3 linked regions of the Xenopus tropicalis genome follow. Each later gene encodes a partner of the first gene's protein in a complex. Links are inferred from orthologs where the notes say so. Each region holds a gene or a part of one and is shown on either strand. Other genes may lie near its edges.

The links. Proteins that work in one complex are often made in the same cells at the same time.
Region 2: dhx16 (region 1) and cwc27 share a complex: the UniProt entries of both Homo sapiens proteins name them as parts of the minor spliceosome. The link is inferred for Xenopus tropicalis from reciprocal best matches to the Homo sapiens genes DHX16 and CWC27.
Region 3: dhx16 (region 1) and rbm48 share a complex: the UniProt entries of both Homo sapiens proteins name them as parts of the minor spliceosome. The link is inferred for Xenopus tropicalis from reciprocal best matches to the Homo sapiens genes DHX16 and RBM48.

The regions. Positions count from the first base shown.
Region 1 is NC_030684.2:75,475,367-75,479,733, forward strand, and holds the end of dhx16 (putative pre-mRNA-splicing factor ATP-dependent RNA helicase DHX16), read right to left. Parts: coding exon 4,262-4,367; intron 3,291-4,261; coding exon 3,117-3,290; intron 2,484-3,116; coding exon 2,355-2,483; 3' UTR 2,353-2,354; intron 859-2,352; 3' UTR 758-858; downstream 1-757. UniProt on the Homo sapiens protein: Required for pre-mRNA splicing as a component of the spliceosome. Contributes to pre-mRNA splicing after spliceosome formation and prior to the first transesterification reaction.
Region 2 is NC_030677.2:188,225,862-188,231,212, forward strand, and holds the start of cwc27 (spliceosome-associated protein CWC27 homolog), read right to left. Parts: upstream 3,332-5,351; 5' UTR 3,240-3,331; intron 3,160-3,239; 5' UTR 3,068-3,159; coding exon 3,026-3,067; intron 642-3,025; coding exon 545-641; intron 1-544. Other genes in the region: protein SREK1IP1, read left to right, coding at 3,513-3,525. UniProt on the Homo sapiens protein: As part of the spliceosome, plays a role in pre-mRNA splicing. Probable inactive PPIase with no peptidyl-prolyl cis-trans isomerase activity. As a component of the minor spliceosome, involved in the splicing of U12-type introns in pre-mRNAs.
Region 3 is NC_030682.2:31,762,414-31,767,681, reverse strand, and holds the start of rbm48 (RNA-binding protein 48), read left to right. Parts: upstream 1-1,937; 5' UTR 1,938-2,052; coding exon 2,053-2,163; intron 2,164-5,082; coding exon 5,083-5,268. Other genes in the region: pex1 (peroxisome biogenesis factor 1), read right to left, coding at 1,600-1,710. UniProt on the Homo sapiens protein: As a component of the minor spliceosome, involved in the splicing of U12-type introns in pre-mRNAs.

The DNA of each region.
Region 1 (4,367 bases):
TCATCACTGGAGAGTACAAATGGTGGATCTCATGGCTACAACTTGGAATTAAGTATTTCTCAACATCTTCACTTAAAATGGCAAATTTGTAAACTAGATCAGCCACCCGGCCCTGCCATCCTATTATAATGGAAGCAAACTTGTTTCCCTCATATACATAGGCTTGCCACATTTTCTGGAAAAAAATACCAGCCTTCAAATAAATGTATCTATCCTATTAACTGGGATAAAGCATCATTTTTACCAGCCAGATGGCAGCCCTACATTTACCCTAACTGTCCAATCTCCTCTTCCCTGGCTTCTCAGTGATCTGCCTATCCTCTCACATATTTGGGGTTACCCTCAATGATGCAAAGTGATCCCTAAGATTCCCAGCTGTCATGGATTTTCTTCCAGAAGGGTGCACCTTTAAGGTTTTGGAAAAATGAGTAGAGACAAACCCTGTATTCTGCAGTAATCCAACGCATTAAAACAAATATATAAAAACGTTCTACTATAGATACTACCCACTGGAGGCTAATATTGATGCATTTAGGTATATTTTGGTTTGGGAATTGTAACTGAAGCCTTAAAGTTGTGTCATCTGAATTTCTCTTATTGCACAGCTACCTATGCCACTTCCCTCAGCCACCAACTCTACTACATAAAGAGTTTGTTCAGTAGGCCTCTTTCTGTTCTCATAGAGTGATTAAATTCCAAAATTTGACAATGGTGAATTAAAAACAATAAAAAAAAAAAAAGACAAAAAAACCCCCAATCGTGTACCAAAAAATATTTATATACAAGAGATTTACAGATGTTTAAACAATCCAGCCACAGCCCATACAAGTGTTGTTCTACTGCAGCAGAGTTAAAGTTCTAAAAGATAAAAATAAATTCACAATTAACCAACATATTGTTCAATATATTCACGTGTGAAACACCTCTGAGTATAAATATACTTGAAATCTCCAACTGAACACTAATTATTTAAAACACTACCGAGTCTCTCTTTTTATATATAACATATCAGAACACTGGCTTGTCTCTGCATGAAAATGACTAAGCAATTTATCAGCACAGATTGCCCTTAGGATGATACAAAGCAGACTAGGATGTCTTTTAATAGCAGCACACAAGCCTAACATGACACTGGGTATTCTCTGTGGAACAGCATATCCTGCATTGTGTACATAAGATATAGTGAGAGGTATCTCAGTACTGTATCTGGACATTGGCATTTCTCTGTATAACAGCATTTAGGATATTGCATATTAGGACACTGGAATGCCTTTCTGAAAATATTCACATCATTAAGTTGATAGCTGGCAAATGCTAGCCTGCTTTAAATGTGAATTCATTGGCCTTCTGTTTTGACTATGTGCACAAAAAAATTCTTTTAGGTGCACATTTTGAAGTTGTGTGTACAATTTTAAAAACTGTGCTCAGGTCAGAATAAATGCAAAAAATTGCATCTTTACACAAAATACTTTGTGTGCACTACAATTTGTTGTAGAACTATACCTCCATAGACAAGATCTAACTAAGGCACTGACATATTTATATGCTATTTTGATGAATCTTCAATCCAATACTCTCCTCAGGACCAAGAAAAAGTGGTATGACAATATACCAGATTTGGAAGAGGAAATGTGGGAAGAGGCACTTGATTGGGTGTCTTAACTCACCATGTCAGCTAGAGACACGTACATCCAAATTAAGATTATTCATAGAGTCTATTTGACCTCACAGAGACAGTCCAAAGTATATCAGGAGCCTCCGACCACCAATGTTCCAAATGCCAAAATGATGTTGGTTCCTTTTTTACATGTGTTTTGCGAGTGCCCAGTTATACGTACTTTCTGGTGTTAAATAGTGACATATATTGAGCGTATACTCACATTTCCCAACATACTGTCTTCGAGCCTGTGCCTACTGGGTATAACTGGTGACCTCAATAGGAGAAACCATGCTATTTGCAGTTATTTTATTATGCTAAAAAAGCTATTCTCTTAACTGATATGTTGAACACCCCTCCCTCTTTGGCATTCTGGAAGAAACTGATTAATGAAACTCTCCCTAACCAAAAGCTGGCATACCTCGCTAGAGGATGTCCAGAAAAAATTGACTTAATTTGGGAACCCTGGTTGCAACAACAGGAAAAGAATTAGAAACTGTATTTAATAACATTTCTGATTTCTGGGGGTTGTAGTGCCTATTTGTGTGGCATATTACAAACTGTAATAGAAGAATGGTAAAACTTAAATTACTAGAACTATACATTATTCATTGTCTTTGATTTCCAGGTTTTTTTTTTGCAATAGACAAACACTGTAAAGTAGAAACAAATACACAGGTAATGAAGATGGCTACCTTCAGCCTAGTTCTTCCCTGCTTTTGCCAGCTTTTCTTGGCATCTTCTTGCTAGTTGGGTCTTCCAGCTCTCGGGACTTGTAGTAATGTGGAGCTACCTCTAAGAGCCATGTGCTATCAATCTCTATAATCTGAACACAATATATATTTATATTTTTATACATATATGCACTCAAATAATTATATTATATATATATATATATATATATATATATATATATATATATATATACACACATACAGGCAGGGTAGGGCAGGCAGAGTATGGCACACACAGGCAGAATAGAGCAGGCAGAGTATGGCAGGCAGCGTATGGTACACACAGGCAGGGTAGGGCAGGAAGAGTATGGCACACACAGGCCAAGTATGGCACAAACCAGCCAAGAATGGCACACACAGTCAAAGTATGGCACACGCAGGCAGGGTAGGGAAGGCAGAGTATGGCAGGTTTTTGCTGTACTACAACCATTAATATGGGTATGGTCATGTGATAACACGGGTGCGATTTCAAGTGGGTGCAGTTTCAAAAAGGGGAGTGGTTAAAACTGGCTTCCATTATCGGCCCTCCACCACGTAGGTCGGAAAAATTCCGGCCCTCGGTACCACAGAAGTTGGACAGCACTGCCCTGGACTATATAGTGAGGGGTGACTATATCTGCAGCAAAATATCTCTTTCTTTTTAGGAATACAGACACCAAGGGTTAATTCTGCCTTACAGGATACACACACACTTATTTCTACACATGCACTCTGTAAGAGCTGACCTGTCTCATATATTCCTTGGTGGTGAAAACCAGCTCATGATATATAACCCAGCGGGGTTGCTCCTCATGAAGACTGCTATTTGGATGGATATATACAGCCTGCTGCTGTTTGACAGTCTTGTATCCACTACGAGTAAGACGTGCCGTGTGGTAGAAATATCCAGCTGTGATTGCCTATTATTAAAGAAATGTAACAATATCAAAGCAAGTAGGAGTAACAGTCCTAATATAGTTACTGAACATTTAAAATATACCTGAAAATATACCTTTAGAATCACTTTTAATATGTTACAGAGTCACCTATTTTAAAGGAGAAGGAAAGATAAAATCACTTCAAAATATTATGCACCCCCAGTGATTGTAATTGCTTACCTTATACCTGGAGTAGCTGCAAGAGAGTGATCCTCTTACTTCTATACTCAGAATCCCAGGGCCAGCACATGCGCAGTAGAGTGAAAAAGACAGCTTTTTTGTTAAAGTTTGGCTTTTCACTCTGCTGCACATGCGGCTTGAAGAAGGAATGGCTCGCTCACAGCTACCCCAGGCTGGTGCAGTTTTCTCCTAACAGGAGTACCAGCCCAGTGTAAGCGATCACACTCACTGGGGGATGCCTTAGATTTTGGCACCCCCAGTGATAATACCTTTCCTTCCCATGTAAGCAACTTTTTAAATAGTCATTATTTATTTTGTCTGTATTGTATTATTAGCCTTACTATTCCACCTTTAAAGCTAACTGGTTGTTGGGTTCACTTACAACCAAAAACCACATGAACTGCAACGGACCCGTTTTATTGCTATTCTTATCAGACTTTTAAACTACTATGGTATTGCTAGGTGAATTAAACTTAAAGCAACCAGAGATCAGTTGAAATTCCAGGACCAAGAGTTGCAGAACAAGAGATTTACATTTCAAAAAGCCACAATAAAAAAAGACCAGATACAAGTTGTCTTAGAATAATGCTTTTAACTTCATAGTAAAGTTATTCTAAAAATATTTCATTAACCTCTTTAAATAAAATTGATTTCATAAATATGTCTATTTCTCACACTCAGGTCAACTGCTCTGAACAGTCCAACAGCAGCTCTCCAAACAGTTAGTCTCTATTGCAACTTATATATCGTTAAAAAGGAAACATATAGAATACCTTGCGCACAGGTATGCTGTCCCCCTCACAGGATGTCAGCTCAATCTCAATACGTCCCATTAGGCCCTCAAGTTGCTCCCGTACATCTCGTGCTCGACGGAGAGAG
Region 2 (5,351 bases), on another chromosome or scaffold:
AAGTAGCTTTTTTAACATGTGTAGTTCTAGGCATAATTAAACAATAGTAATAGGAAGCTTTACAAACCAGCATGCCCCTGCAACTGATTTCTTGCTTTGGCTTCACAGGACTGGAGCAAACTAGCCACCTGTTATTGTATCCCCACATAGTTTAGCATAGGTTAATGTGTCACTATAAAGCAAGGGTTCTTAAGCTATGGTTTGAGTGCCATATACGGCCGCCCATGACGTTAAGAGTGGGATTCCACTTCTTTTAATAATGTGAAATGTCTTTCTACAATGCATAACATTTATTAAAACAAAGTGCATAAGGGGTTGTGAAATAGATTACCCAATTTAAAAAGGGAAGAAGAAGGGGGAAATCAATAGAAAATCAAATCTATGACCCAATAGAAGCAAAAAATAATAAATTATTGCCTGCCACTGTTGGTTTTCTCTTTGGTTGCAAGGATCAGCTTAGCAAGGCATCATTATCAACGGTTTTCTAAAGTTCTGAAGTAATCTGGCTTTTATTGCAAGTGTGTGTTTCTGTTTGCAACGTTACCTTCTAAACAAAGCTGTACAAAGTTTCGGCATGCTCTTGGTGCCTCTTTTGACCACAATTCAATGTCAATCTCTCCAGCAGTTGTTTTCAGCAAAACCTGGAAAAGTGGTAGTAAAAATTATTATTTGGGCAGGATTTCTTCCTCTTCTTGCTGCCTTTGTCTTTCACGTGTGGCATATAGTATGACACAAGTTCACACAGGACATCCTACCCTACCCGTGAGCATTATTTAAATATAAAAAAGTTGGGGAGTAACACAAGCACGAAAAAGTTTTCTAGGGGTTACAATGAGGACTGTGACTGGTTATTAGGTAGCCCAACGTGGATGGGCAGACTACAGGAGGCTCAGTTTGGCAGTACACATGGTCTTTATGCCCCCAAAATTTGCATCCAAGCCAGAGGCTACTGGGAGCAACTTCCAAGGGGTTGGGGAGCAACATGTTCCTTGCAAGCCACTGGTTGGGGCTCACTGCTGTAGACCTTCTTTACCTCTTACATGGAACTAGATATATAATTATCACAGCGTAGTTCAGGAGATACTTATGGGTACATCATATAGAAAGAAATGGGATGACATTGAGCAACAATATGGAGGTGAGCAAGTTGATGGCAGTGGATGTGATCTACTTGGACTTTGCTAAAGCATTTAGCAGTACTGCACAGAAAGTTAATGGTAAAATTTGGCCTGGAACATAGTGCTGGGCGGTATGACCAAAAATTTATATCACGGTATTTTTTTTATTATATCGGTATCACGGTATTTGACGGTATTTTTTTTTCCCCATGCATGATTAGGTGACCACCCCAAACACCCCCCCCCCCCCAATTTTTCTTACTATTTCCGGGTTGCACGCGCGACGTCAGCGCGCACAACCCGGAAATAGTAAGAAAAATTGCCAGGAGGCGCCCACACCGGTATGCCGGTAAGTTAAAAATTTTTATCATTTTTTTTTTAAAAAAATGGTGTTCGGTATATACCGGTATACCGCCCAGCACTACTGGAACATAATATTTTAAATTGGATAAATAAATGATTGAAGGATAGATTACAGTGTAGAGAGAGGTGGTAAATAGAACATTTTCTAATTGGGCCAGTGTTGTTAGTGGAGTACCGCAGGGGTCAGTCCTTGGTCCTTTGCTTTTTAACTTGTTTATTAATGACCTGGAGGTGGACATTGAAAGTACTGTTTCTATTTTTGCTGATGATACTAAATTGTGCAAAACTATAAGTTCCATGCAGGATGCTGCCGCTTTGCAGAGCTGACAAAGCTGGAAAACTGGGCAGCAAATAAGGTTTAATGTTGAAAACTGCAAAGTTATGCACTTGGGTAGAAATAATATAATAATGTAATAATATTACACACTAAATAGTAGTGTGTTGTGGGGATCCTTAATAAAGAAGTATCTGGTTTTTTTTGTAGATAACAAGTTGTCTAATTCTAGGCAGTGTCATTCTGTGGCTACAATAAAGTGCTTAAAAAAAGGGCATTGACTCAAGGGATGAAAACATAATTTTGCCCCTTTATAGGTCCCTGGTAAGGCCTCACCCTGAGTATGCAGTGCAGTTTTGGGCTCCAGTCCTTAAGAAGGATATTAATGAGCTGGAGAAAGTGCAGAGACTGCAACTAAACTGGTAAAGGGGATGGAAGGGTTAAACTATGGGGTTAGACTGTCAGGGTTGGGGTTGTTTTCTCTGGAAAAGAGGCGCTTGCGAGGGGACATGATTACTCTGTACAAGTACATTAGAGGGGAATATAGGCAGATGGGGGGGTTCTTTTTTTCCCATAAAAACAACCACCACACCAGAGGCCCCCCCTTAGGAACGGAGCTTCCATTTGAAGCAGCGTAGGGGGTTCCTCACGCCCCGGGGAGGGCAGTGAGGTTGGGGAATGCCCTTCCTAGTGATGTGGTAATGGCAGACTCTGTTAATGCCTATAAGAGGGGCCTGGATGAGTTCTTGAACAAGCAGAATATCCAAGGCTATTGTGATACTAATATCTACAGTTAGTATTGATGTTGGTATATATAGTTTAGGTATGTTAGTTTGGTATATAGCCTATATATGTGGCTGGGGTTCGCCTGGAGCCCATTCATGTAACTAAAGGACAGCCTGCACTGGTGCATTTGGGCACCTTCCTAGCAGGACATTAGTTAGTCAGCTCAGAAGCTCTGTCCTAGGGCTGAATATGCAGGAGGAGTCTCCATAAAGCGCAGCACAGTCCTCTCTGCTCCCCATGTGGATTATACCAATGTGCTGACAGCTGGGGGGGGCAGCTACATGACGCGAAACTAAAACATTTACCCTGGGAAATGTATTTTCACAGAAAAACATTGAGTAAATTTACTTATAGACTTTACATTTCCTTTATCAGGTACCGCGCTGGGAGAGATATTTCAGCAACAGCAGATGGGAATCCCATGCTAAATATTATTCCTTTATCCTTCTGCCCTACAAGCCCCTTACTTTCTCCCGCTGCTCACCTTGCCGTTTGTCGGCGGCTCCTGAATGTAAATATTGCTCATTGTTACTCAGCTTCTTGCAAACAAACTCCAGCGTGCAACCTGACAGGACGGGACCGCCCACATACAGCCTCAGAGGGGTGCCAGAGAAGATTCTGATTTAAAAATGACACAGCAAAGAGCGTTAACAGGACTCGTCCCATCCACAGTTATATAGTAGCTCGTATTTTGTTACCCGAATGCTCCAAGATCACAGCGTCTACAGCAGAGGATGATTACACCAGAGTTGCATTGCTTTAGTTCCCCCCTTTCTCTTAGTGTGGCCGAAAGTACACTTCCCGGAAACCAGAGCTTTCATTTGCGTTCCACTGCGCACCGCTTATTCTGTTCCGCTGAGAAACAAGTCCATGCTGTGATTGAGTTCCGAGGAAGTGAATTGGTTAGGAGGCGCGCAGTAACTGTTTGAGGGGTGCGATCTTCTGTGTACGGACGCTGAGAATTGTGACTTATGGCTGTCCCAGGTTAGTCTGATTTATAAATCACGTTTTTTACCTCACCTGATCCATCTGATTTTGATAGAGAGGACTTTTATAATACAGGCTCGAGTCTGAACTCGACATGTGTAAAGTCTCTGCAAAGTGCATTATGTTGTACTGTACACTGTACGCACACAACCCAACTCCCCAACCCAATTAGTTTTATCCCCCGCTATTTTATGCCCGAGTCCCCAAAATACGTAGGACATCATTTTTTTCTGCTTTTGAAGGGGTGGTTCACCTTCAGTTAAACTTTAAGTATGTTATAGAATAGCCTGTTTTGAGCAACTTTTCAACTAGTCTTCATTTTATATTTTCGGTTGTTTCTGCCTTTGTCTTCAGGCTCTTAAGGTCCCCATACACGGGCCGATAGAAGCTGCCGATATTGGTCCCTTGGACCGACTCGGCAGCTTATCGGCCCGTGCAGGGGCAGAAACGATCGGACTGGCCGACCGATATCTGGCCTGAAATTGGCCAGATATCGGTCGGCCAGGTTAGAAAATCCTGTCAGACCGGGGACCGCATCGGCTCGTTGATGTGGTCCCCGAACCGACTGCCCCATTGCTGCTTGCAGAATTCGATCGTTTGGCCCCAGGGCCAAACGATCGAATTCACCGAAATTCCTCCCCGATATCGCCACCCGTAGGTGGTGATATCGGGTGAAGATCCGCTCGCTTGGCGACATCGCCAAGCGAGCGGATCTGCCCGTGTATGGCCAGCTTTAGGCTAAGAACCCACCGAGCGAGTTACTTGCCCACAATATCGCATGCGAGTAGCTGCTCCAAAAAGGACTACTCACGCAGAGTTGCCTGCAGGAGGAAACTTTGTGCAACTTCGGAACACGAAACGATACAAAGGGCTTTCCACCAGCGACTTCTATTGTTACCTGTGGAAAGCCTTTTCGAAGCAGTTACTCACATGTGATAGATCTCTCCTAACTCACTCAGTGGGTTTGTACCCTTAGGGCTCTAGTACATGGGGAGATTAGTCGCCCGCGACAAATCTCCCGTGTTGCGGGCGACTAATCTCCCCATGTACCAGAGCCCTTAGGGTGAAGACACATGGAGCTAATAGTAGCTGCTACTTGTAGTAGACAATGCTGATCATTTACTGATAACAGCAGGGCTGTGGAGTCGGAGTCGAGGAGTCGGAGGCAATTTTGGGTACCTGGAGTCGGAGTCGGCAAAAAATGAACCGACTCCGACTCCTACTAAATTTAAATGGGAATAAAAAAAAAAAAATAAAGCAAGTTTAAATGTCCCAATTCACAAACAGTCATAATTAATTACTTCTCTGCTATAAGAATAAAGCCCAATGCACGCAGTGCATAAACTAACACGTTGAGTGACCATGAAGCATGCTTTTCACTGACTGTATGAATGTATAAAATACATTCGCATATTAAAAACAGAGGAGTCGGAAGTATCAGAAACTGAGGAGTCGGAGAATTTTTCTACCGACTCCACAGCCCTGGATAACAGTCTCAACATGTTTTTTAGCAGAGGCAATTCTCAGTATTGTCTATGGCAGGGGATTTTCTGGCATTTAGTAGCTGTAAAAAAGTAGCTGCTACTAGTAGCTCCGTGTGACTTCAACAGTTTTTAAATGGGACCAAAAATCCCCCACTGCTTATATCTTAGTTGGGATCAAGAACAAGGTACTGTTTTATTTATACAGAGAAAAAGGAAATAATTTTTAAAAATGTGAATTATTTGATTAAAATGGAGTCTATGGGAGATGACCTTTCCGTAATTCGGAACTTTCTGGATAATGGGTTTCCAGATAAGGGATCCCATACCTGTACCTTTATT
Region 3 (5,268 bases), on another chromosome or scaffold:
GCCACAGTCCCTTCCCAGAGGCTATTATCCCCCCACTGCTACTATAGGCACCATCTCTCCCTACTATACCTGCTATCCCACAGCCACAGTCCCTTCCCAGGGAATATTATCCCACTGCTACTATAGGCACCATCTCTCCCTACTATACCTGCTATCCCACAGCCACAGTCCCTTCCCAGGGAATATTATCCCACTGCTACTATAGGCACCATCTCTCCCTACTATACCTGCTATCCCACAGCCACAGTCCCTTCCCAGAGGCTATTATCCCACTGCTACTATAGGCACCATCTCTCCCTACTATCCCTACTATACCTGCTATCCCACAGCCACAGTCCCTTCCCAGAGGCTATTATCCCACTGCTACTATAGGCACCATCTCTCCCTACTATACCTGCTATCCCACAGCCACAGTCCCTTCCCAGAGGCTATTATCCCACTGCTACTATAGGCACCATCTCTCCCTACTATACCTGCTATCCCACAGCCACAGTCCCTTCCCAGAGGCTATTATCCCACTGCTACTATAGGCACCATCTCTCCCTACTATACCTGCTATCCCACAGCCACAGTCCCTTCCCAGAGGCTATTATCCCACTGCTACTATAGGCACCATCTCTCCCTACTATACCTGCTATGCCACAGCCACAGTCCCTTCCCAGAGGCTATTATCCCCCCACTGCTACTATAGGCACCATCTCTCCCTACTATACCTGCTATCCCACAGCCACAGTCCCTTCCCAGAGGCTATTATCCCACTGCTACTATAGGCACCATCTCTCCCTACTATACCTGCTATCCCACAGCCACAGTCCCTTCCCAGAGGCTATTATCCCACTGCTACTATAGGCACCATCTCTCCCTACTATACCTGCTATCCCATAGCCACAGTCCCTTCCCAGAGGCTATTATCCCCCCACTGCTACTATAGGCACCATCTCTCCCTACTATACCTGCTATCCCACAGCCCCAGTCCCTTCCCAGAGGCTATTATCCCCCACTGCTACTATAGGCACCATCTCTCCCTACTATACCTGCTATCCCACAGCCACAGTCCCTTCCCAGAGGCTATTATCCCACTGCTACTATAGGCACCATCTCTCCCTACTATACCTGCTATCCCACAGCCACAGTCCCTTCCCAGAGGCTATTATCCCACTGCTACTATAGGCACCATCTCTCCCTACTATACCTGCTATCCCATAGCCACAGTCCCTTCCCAGAGGCTATTATCCCCCCACTGCTACTATAGGCACCATCTCTCCCTACTATACCTGCTATCCCACAGCCCCAGTCCCTTCCCAGAGGCTATTATCCCCCCACTGCTACTATAGGCACCATCTCTCCCTACTATACCTGCTATCCCACAGCCCCAGTCCCTTCCCAGAGGCTATTATCCCAGTTGATATTATTAATCCTTTTCTGACACCTACACAAATACACCTCATGTCATGTTACTAAACTCCCTCCTGCTTTCCATGTAGAATCACCTGAGAATCCCAAAGCCCTGGTTAGTGCCCGGACAGGGCCATTACAGGCATCATATTAAAATAAACAAGTGCTGCCCATCACGGACAGACGGGCCCCGGTTAGAGTTACCTGCTCCAGGCGTAATTGTGCGAGCACCTCAGGTGTCACACGCAAAAATGTGTCCTTAGCACTTGTGAGTTTCAGGGACACAGCAGCCCCGGGCGGTCCCGGACCTAGCATCCTACTGTGGCGTACCCACAGCAACCCCCTTCACTCCAGCGCTGTGTATGACGAACGTGCAAGTAACAGAACTTCCATCGCTAACGTTATCAGCTCCTTCATGCCTACTGGGTAACTTCCGCGCTGTTTCACCTTTGACAATCGAGGAAATCCCACTCACCCTGTGTCTGCTGACGTATAGTACCTCCCGCCCAATCAGAGAATGGCGTGCTCTAATGACGCCTGTGTGCGGGGCAGTCCTTCCGCCTATTGGTTCTGCTGCCTTTCCGCCTATTGGTTCTGTGTCCCGGCCTGTGTTTGGTACAGGGAGAGAGGGAACTATTTCTTAGACAGCAGAAGCCGATGGCAGAAAGCGCAGCAGTGCAAGTGCAGGCCTACGCACACCATGAGCAGCGAAAGATATGCGCCTCACGGGCCAAGTACCGCGAAGGACGGAGGCCCAGAGCAGTCAAAGTGCGTGAAACATTTACAGTTTTTGTTTTGGTTTTTATACGTCCACACAACTAGTATTCCAGCGTATTCTTGCGGTGGGACTGAGCGCCAGTGCCGCTCTAGCAGGTTTCCCTTCGTAGAAATTGCTCCCTAGAGTTATCACTGAGTTACAGCTTCCATAAGAATGTTAGCTCTTCTATATTCATGTGGTTTTAATTGGGCACTGTGTGGGAACTGGTAATGATTTCTGTTTCTACATAGGAGCATATTGTTCCACTGAAGGAAAAAATGCTGCCTTTTTATCTGCACCCACTGATAGGGGAATAGTGTGGGAGAGGGATTAGAGTTCTAGTTCACCATTTGGAGGCAGTAGGTTTCATTATAAACTATGGGCTATTTCCCATGATTGTAATTATAGATGTCACAGACCCAGTGGCTGCAACTGATAAGGCTAAATATATGTTTATGAATAAAAAGATAATTTTGTGGTTGGGCCCAGTGGTCTCTAGTTACACCAGCAGTCATGTATACTGCAAGCCAGTGGGGTACCACAACAATTTCAATTTAGGGCCCAAAAAATATTTGTATGTTAACCTATTCTACCAAGATACATTGACATTTCTCATCAATTAGGGTCTTATTGGGCCACTTCCATTCCTGGGCCACTTCCATTCCTGGGCCACTTCCATTCCTGGGCCCCCTTCCAACTGCAGGGTCTGCCCTAGCACACACTCCAGTTTCCCTTTCCTTGCCCTGTAACATTACATCATTTCACTCTGCACACATTCTCATACAACCAGCACACTTAACATGTCTGCATATAAAAAAAACACACACAAACTGATACTATTTTCTTTTAATTTCATAAAGAAGAGTATAATGCACTCAGTTACTGGGTTCACGTTAAACTGAGGGGTATATTTAAAAAAAAAAAAAAAGTTTAAATTTGACGCTTACCAAGATTGACTTGTAAGGGTCTGTTTTAAGCTTTCCATATCATGTGACAAATGTAAGATGCTGATGTGCATTTAAATTTTAAATGTTTGAGAAATAAAAAAAATTATATTTTGACCAAAAACTGAAAATGTGCCTCATCTCAGTTTTGTGCCTGTAGCCCTCGGCTATTGCACCCAGTCAGATTTATTCATATAATGCCAGAGATTCTCAGCTGGATTGAGGTCAGGCCTGTGACAGAGCCATTTGATCACTGGGATCACTGTTCTACTGAAAGATTAATGTTTATTTTTTAGCAGCCTGGAACAGGCTTTTTTTTGGTGATATTTCACTGTATTTTGCCCCATGCCTTGAAAACAATATTCCCAGTTGCTGCGTTAATTATATAACACACAAATCTGTGGTACTAATGAAGAATCAGGCTTTTGCGCAGAGAAATCTTTAGTTTAGGACTTTAAAAACTGTTGATTCCTTGCTGAATACTTGGACAGATAACCATTTGCTTTATACAGTATGGCAAACATGGCATATACAAACAGTTGTATCACTCTGGCTTGATTAAGCCATTTTACAGATGATGCAAATAGAAAAACTTTAACGTATGTTCAAGCCAAAGAAAAGTATCCAGTGCTTTCTAGCAAGTTACTGGCTTTCCTTCAAAAGCGATACCAGTAAAATTATATAGCCATCCTCCCGCCAAGAGAGCTATATCACTGGGCTTTAAACTATTATATAAGCAGAAATGAGTTGCTGGAAAGCTGCACACCATAAGAGCAAGTTAATACCTGGGTGCCAGTGCTGAAAGCGTAGATACACAGGGTTGGAATGACAGCACACGCAGGATGTTTTTCAAGAAGAATCACAGAGGTTTAGATAAATAAATGTGAGGCTTTATTCAGTCCGACGTTTCAGTTCCTATCTGGAACTTTCATCAGGGACAGTAACATCACAGTGCAGTACAAACCTTTTTAAGCACAAAAGGGCCCTAAACCTCTGTGATTCTTCTTGAAAAACATCCTGCGTGTGCTGTCATTCCAACCCTGTCTATTATATAAGCAGATAGTCTATACTTCTTCCACCAAGGGACACAACAAATGGCTTCTGAAATTTTCTCAATTACAAATGTCTCAAGGCCTTACAGTATGCAAATAAATGTCTTCCAATGGGATCATATAAAGAAATGCATCTAAAATTCTTTTTATTGAGCCTACTACTCGCCAAAAGTCAGTCCCAAATAGGACTCTCTGGAGGCAGATTTATTTAATTGTTTCTGGACATGTCCTCATAGTAAAAAGTTTTGGGTATCAATAACTTGTTATGCCATTGATAACTTGCTAGACTATGTTCCTATGTTACCAAAATGGATTATGTTCCTATGTTACCAAAATTGACAATGTTTGGTATCCCTACCAAATACTAGACTTATTGGGGGAGTAGAAAAGTACTGTTTATCATATCTGCAGCTGCTCGTAAATATATGCTACAAGTGTGGATAGAGAAACAACCCCGTCACTGTCTTTTTTTAAAAGTAAATTTTATATATTCACCTATTATTTCACCTGTTTCACATGGATTGGCTAGAAGTCTCCCTCCAAAAAGAAAAACACACGAGATGAAGAAAGAAACAAATGGCAATCAGTTTTAAAATGTTTTAAGAACAATTATTTTAAAACAAGGTTACTGATCCACCAGTAGTGCTATAGATGCTATAGAAAGCGCTTTCTCTTACCATTATCCTTCCAAGTGAATGACTTCACTTTGAGAATTATAAAACTATGCTTCTTGTAGATTGTAAGCTCTTTTGGGCAGGGCTCTCTTCACCTTTTGTATCGGTTTTTGATTGCTTAGATGTCCAGTGTATGAAACCCACTTATTGTACAGCACTGTGAAATATGTTGGCACTTTATAAATAAATGTTAATAATAATAATAAAAGAAAACCCCCAAAAACTGGCAATTCCTGCTAACCTTTTCCATTACTTTTAAGGTGTACACTATAAATCTGGAGTCACGGTACCTCTTGGTGCAAGGGGTTCCAGCAATCGGTGTAATGAAGGAGCTTATTGAGCAATTTGCCCTTTATGGAACCATAGAAGAGTATAATGCGCTGGATGAATACCCTGCTGAAGAATTCACTGAGGTGTACCTCATTAAATTTCAGAGGATACAGAGT